2 linked regions of the Kluyveromyces lactis genome follow. The protein of the gene in region 2 purifies or fractionates together with the protein of the main gene of each other region. This does not show direct contact. Links are inferred from orthologs where the notes say so. Each region holds a gene or a part of one and is shown on either strand. Other genes may lie near its edges.

Region 1 (3,268 bases), on a different chromosome or scaffold from region 2:
ATAGCGCAGTCGATGTTAATATATATGCATACTCCAACAAGGACGGGTTGAAGTCTAAGATTTTGGATAAACTTGGTGGTAACCATGAGAATATTGAAATTGGTCATTTCATGAGAAATTATTTGGGCCTTGATTTGAAGAAAGTCACAGAGATGATCAAAAACACCACTCATACTCAGGAATTTGTATCTTCCGCTTCAGAGGAAAACTACTTTGAATACATTCCTTCATTCTTGAAAGAAATAGAAATCTAACTCCCTGTTAACATTTATAAAGGTTGGAAAAGACAAAACAATTGCATTCCGTTTCATTGCATAATCGTATGCGATCTGTCCCCATAGATATTGCACTATATCTCCTGCTCTTTGTTTCAAAACTAAACGTGGTAATTGAAGGTGTTATTTCGCTTATAATAATAGTACGCAGAAATATTAATAGTATTTTACATAATAGGTCTAAGTACATAAAGAGTAAAACCAATTAAAGATCAAGACGGTACCTTTTCCCGTTTAATTTAATTGAGGATTCGTTCTACGCAGTACGTTTGATGCTATGTTCTCCCTGAAAACTCATAGCGCTTATTCTTCAATATGGTATACCAAGTAGTTAGGTAGACCGAACACAGAATATCCCAATCTTTTTGCCATCTTAGCAAATGCTTCTGTCTCTATCAAGTGGTAGAATGGGAAGTTAGTGAACATGGCACCATCTCTGTGGACTTCAGCTTTCACTAAAGTACATCCACCTCCGACACCGTCAAGTTCCATTAATGAGTTGGTGGCACCGTTTGCGTCGTAGAAATGGGCCATCAATGGTCTATAAGTCGCAATTTCAGAGTACCCCTCCACGATAATCTCGTTATCTCCAAGTTGTTGGGCCAATTTCAAACCGATTTCGGATTCAGCCCAATTATTGAAATCGTAAGGTCTAATACTTTCCTTCTTTTGATCTTTGTCATAGAATTTTTGATACACATTAGCGGCAAGAACCGGTTTGTTATGGCTCGTTAGGTCTTGAATGACGGTGACTGGAGTTTCAACGATATCTGCATCCAACCATAGAATCCATGAAGTGTGCGGTCCAATGGTAGAGAACAGCAATTCGTTCCTAGCCAATGCCATAGCAGCACGTCTTTCCTTTTGTACTTCTAGTGCGTGTCTATCCTTTTCTCCTAGTCTGTCGAAAGACTGAGACGCTTGTCTCAAGATGGTTATCTTGGCAAATCTTTTATCCTGTTTACCTGTTTGAACCTCTCTTACTGCAGATTCTAATTTCTGTAAAGCAGCATCTCCAGACGCAGTTCTTGGAATAATAAATCCAAGCTCAATCAATGCTCTTGGGTAAGTCAAACTCAACAAATTATTCCAGTACTGTTGATGGAAAGTCTGCATTGGAGTCAAAATCAATACTCTTTCCTTGTTTACTAAGGCATTGCTGGTAGATTTCAACTTGTTCAAATCGTAATGGGCAATGTGACCTTCAGGAATCAAATCGTCAACTTTATCATTGAACAACCAACTGGAAACTTTCTTGTATGAATATTTTGGCATCTTGTACTTCTTTGTATATGGGAAATAAAATGTCTTCTCGGACTGATCTGCCCATTGATGGTTCATAATATCATCGCTCAATCCTAGTACGTTATTCCCACTGGAAAAAACTAATTGAAACACGCAAAATAGCACAAATATAGGTACCACGATGAAAAGAATCGGCGATTTCCTCACACGGTATGCGATCAAAGACATGGAAGCCATCTTTATGTTTATGTTTATGTTTATAAATTAATCAACCAAAACTATGATCTATAGCACTCAATTATCGGCTCAATTTCCTCCTTGATTAATTCTCCCAAAGATTAGACAGCGAAAGTGTCTATATTCAACAGAGCAAGACGCCAATCCGACCGTGTTTATCCTTCTTGAACTTCTAGTAAACTCGCCAAATTGATATTGAAATTACGGCTTTTCTTGTTTTAAGCTATTCGGAAGTTGAGAATTTTCGGCAGAGGGTAACTATACTATTCTATCTTGTTTCTCATATGTTTCTGTGTCCCATTTTGTTTCTTTCAGTGTGAATTTGGTCTTAAGGATTCGATTTCGCCGATTTGAAAGCACAAGTCACGTGGTTTTTTTTTTCTTAAGTAATTGCCGAAGAGCAACCTTTCGAATCACTGATTAATATCTTGGGACGCACATTGCTTGGCCGGGTGTATTGAATAGAGCACCAAATGAACCAAGACCTGTGCTAAGACCTTGGGTTAAGAGCTTGTCATAGCCTCTTCTCATGCACTCAGTGAATAAATTGGTATTCCAGGGTTTACTTGTGGTAATAGTGGGATATTTCTGTTGGACTGTGCATAAAGATGTGCAATGGCAGTTATTGGAACAGCAATGGGTGGATATGAAGAAAATCTCTCAGTGCAAACGATCTTATGTTGAGAATAGATGTAGTGAGGGAATACGGCCGGCTTTAGCTGGGAAATGTGATGAATGGTGGCATTGTGCGCAGCTGGACTCGCACCCCAGCGTTCATCAGATGGCCAATTTATATGCCAAGACACTTGCACACACGTTAAATTCGTTTATACAGGCACTTGCCTTCAAGACAATAATAGTACTGATGCTATTTGTATTGCTTATATCAATTTCTAGTAAACTACTTCAGTAGTTTCTCTGTGTACATATATATCACGTATAAAGAAGTTACTTGCGAAGATCTTTTCTCCATTGTTTGAACGAATTTGATAGTATCTCTTCTCCTTCCACCAGCTGCTTGTATTCTTCGTCGTCAGACTCAATTTCCGTGAGTTTTAGGTGATTGTTCTCAAAGATGAGTTTATAGGCTTTAATTGTGTCAATATCGTCTTCTGGTCTTGGAATACTTGTCAATAACCACTCTGTGAAGGCACCATACCATTTTATGGCATCTACACACACAGTTTGCATCTGTGGGTTGTTGTTCTTCAATATTAGCGGTACCTCAGATGTAGTGAACTCCTCTACAGTTTTGAGCATGAAATTGTCATCTCTAAACCCATATATAATTCTGTTTATTCCTACTAGGAAACACTGTAACCAGGTTTTAAACAACTTACGTTCGAATTTATGCGCATCGGAAACGGTATTGACCATTGTGGTACATTTCAACTCTGCGTAATGCTTCAGGTTGTCATCTGAATCCTCTTTAAAATCAAAAATACAGTCCACTTCTGCACCGATCAATATCTTACATTTACCTATTCCTGTTCTAACCATTGAGATGAATT
Region 2 (3,093 bases):
GTGAAAACCGTTATCAATTTGACTTTCCCTCTAACAGTAGAAGATTACGTTCACAGAATTGGTAGAACCGGTCGTGCTGGTCAATACGGTACCGCACACACATTGTTCACTGAGCAAGAAAAGCATCTTGCAGGTGCCCTTGTTAATGTCTTAAATGGTGCTGGTCAACCTGTTCCTGAGGAGCTCAAGAAGTTCGGTACTCACACAAAGAAGAAGGAACATAGTGCGTACGGTGCATTCTTCAAGGATGTGGACCTATCAAAGAAACCAAAAAAGATTACATTTGATTAATTTAAATCCGTTATAAAGACAATTCTTGTATTTTTTAGCAATCACCCCCATTATGTACAGTAGTTCATTCAATACAGAGTAAATAAAAGTTTACAATTACTCTTGCATCGAAGTTTGTACAATGAATGTTCACGATAAAAATTGAAATTAAAGACGTATTAAATATGCGATATTCAAACAATGACTTTGAAAGGCAACGAAGAATGGTGTTGAAAGGGAAAGCATTAAAGTATAAAAGGGGATACTCTATCGAAGATCTTCTTGTACCTTCGCCTTTTATTTTACAGTATTAGTACAATGGAGCAGTGCATAATTTTTGAAATACAACTGAAGTGATAAACAAAAGGAAATTGAGAATCTAAAAGAACATCGAGTACCATCTACGGTGAAGAGTTTGCATCAGTTGAGTGTATTGGCGCATTTCACCCCAGCAGTCTCTACCAAAGTTACACCCAGCCATATTGACAACGAAGTCATGTTCCTTTTCGTTATAGAAATAGCGCAAGTCATACTTGAAATCTGCACAAGCACCTGGTGGGAAAGCATTGATCTGCCTTAGTGGTAGAAATGCGATCTTCTCTCTAATCCAAGGTTCGTTAGCATACAATGCTTCTAAAGCGTCTTGTTCACGATGTTCCCAGACCATATGTTTTTGTTCATATCCGACTGGGTCCCACCATATATCGAGAAGAAGCTCAGTCCATTCAGTGTTTCTCATTAGGAAAGAACCCAAATTAAAACCACCACAGTCCTGTGTAATTAACATATCTGACGGTTGTGAATAGTCAACATATGCCACATCGGTAGCTATATGCAAAGGATTGAAAGCTTCCAAAGTCTTGTTTGCGATTTCATCTAGTCTATCGAAGATATGTTCTTCCAAAGAAAGTTGGGGCTCCATGATAAGAGTTTCCACGTCTAACCACCAAAACCATTCAGCATTGGGGAATTCCCTCATAGTCTGTTTCATTATATCAACCTTTTGCCAGCCCTCTCTGTATTCATGGGAGTATCTCTTTGATAGTGCCTGATCTTTAATGACCAATCCGTAACCATGTCTTTTGGCGTATGCACGTTTGTTTTCGATAGAAATACGCTCGATAGCCCATTCTTGTTCCGATTTCCACTTTAAAACACCACCGCCACCACTATTGACAGCAACAATTATCACCACCTTGGGTTCAGCTGCAACAAGTGAGAAATCACTTAACCAAAATAATATGAAAAGTATGGAAAACAGCCATAGGACGTACCTCTTATATTTTGAAAATGACGACACGTAATTGGAATCCAAATTTAATGGCTTTTTCTCATCCAATTCGTATGAGTACTCATAAGGTGTACTCGAAGTCATTGATCCTATCTAGATTTTCTGACTGGTCTCTCGTTCACGTACAATATACAATAAATCGGATCAAGTTGGATGCCTCAGAAAAACAGCAAAACGCGATCAATAGTATTTTCTGCTCCAAGCAGTCACACTATATTTCCTTAACGTATTGAAGTACTAACGAAATCACTTAGATACACAAACAACAACCAGTAAATGATTGTTTTGTACTACTCTGGAGTTTATCTATAGAGAACATATATTTTTACTCTGTTGACATTACTTCAAATTCTTGCAACTCGCTTTAAAATGAAGAAATCCAAAACAAGAAAATGTTACCCGGTAGAAATGATAGAATCGCAATCTGTCTCTAGATACCGCGACAGCTTACCATAACACTTTGACTGGTACACTGATCGTGAGCATGGACCTCTGCACTATTCGTTGAGGAATACAATCGAATGACGACTACATATATGCGACTAAATGCTTGTAATTAATTATGCGAATGTATTTTTCCGCAAAACTTGGTGAAAGATCAATTCATTATGAATATGAGGATGGTCCTATCAAACAAAGACTATTCGCTGCGTTGCATTATCAGAAGTTAAACTCATTACGAAATTGCTGTAGATCCATGCCCGGCATGACTTTTTCTAGCAAATCTCTCCTATCCATGGCGACAAAGGAACGCTTTAAGGTCTCCAGAATATTGTTAGATTGCACGACTGATCCAGTAATTGGAACATTCTCTACTTCATGCATAGATAGAGCAGAGAGCAGAGACTCTGCAGCCTCTTTATAACAGCCAATATTCATTGACGAAATGGCCAAGTTATAACGAGCTCTCACAAAAGACGGTTTCAAGGCAAGGGCCTTGTGGTATGCCTGGATAGCTTCTTCGCTACGGTTTGAATTGGCCAAAGAGGCTCCCAAACGGTTCCACATTAATTCGTCATTTGGATTGACTTCTAATGCGGTGCGGAAACAGTCAATTGTCTTACCAAACTCTTCATTGGCATAGAAAAGCGTTCCCAAACCGAGCTGAACTTCTGGATCCACCTGAGGCAAGGCGTTAGCTACTTGCAAATACTTCGTGATTACTTGTTTGCTCAAATTAAACCTATCGATATTGGCCTCATCAATGGTAGGGGAGCGTGTTAACTCAGGGTACTTACTATCTAGCCATCTGTTGAGCATGCTGAAAGCGGTCAGATCATATCCCTCATTAATATAACTGATAGAAATTGTCATGAGTGCCTGCTGATTAGTGGGGTCTAGGCTTAAACATTGCTCAAGCGCACTAATACCATTCATTTCTTTTTCGTTTTGTGTTTGAACCAATCCAAGCTTTAACCATGCATCTACATGCGCGGGGTCTTCTTGCACAGCAGCTTCGAAAGCCAATGCAGCTTCACTTAGCTTCGCCCCATTTTCCATTAGGATACATCCAATTTCATAGGCATTTGGAT

What was found. The genes of interacting proteins can lie anywhere in the genome.
Region 1: the proteins of MNN10 (region 2) and MNN9 purify together in Saccharomyces cerevisiae (affinity purification with mass spectrometry; 4 studies listed by BioGRID, with this or other methods). This does not show direct contact. The link is inferred for Kluyveromyces lactis from reciprocal best matches to the Saccharomyces cerevisiae genes MNN10 and MNN9.

What each region holds. Positions count from the first base shown.
Region 1 is NC_006041.1:1,137,704-1,140,971, forward strand, and holds MNN9 (mannosyltransferase complex subunit MNN9), read right to left. Parts: upstream 1,758-3,268; coding exon 579-1,757; downstream 1-578. Other genes in the region: alkaline phosphatase PHO8, read left to right, coding at 1-254; BRR6 (Brr6p), read left to right, coding at 2,287-2,670; RAI1 (decapping nuclease), read right to left, coding at 2,706-3,268. UniProt on the Saccharomyces cerevisiae protein: The M-Pol I and M-Pol II complexes possess alpha-1,6-mannosyltransferase activity and are probably involved in the elongation of the mannan backbone of N-linked glycans on cell wall and periplasmic proteins.
Region 2 is NC_006039.1:1,342,399-1,345,491, reverse strand, and holds MNN10 (alpha-1,6-mannosyltransferase), read right to left. Parts: upstream 1,646-3,093; coding exon 650-1,645; downstream 1-649. Other genes in the region: RNA-dependent ATPase DBP3, read left to right, coding at 1-291; PEX5 (Pex5p), read right to left, coding at 2,222-3,093. UniProt on the Saccharomyces cerevisiae protein: Required for polarized growth and efficient budding. The M-Pol II complex possesses alpha-1,6-mannosyltransferase activity and is probably involved in the elongation of the mannan backbone of N-linked glycans on cell wall and periplasmic proteins.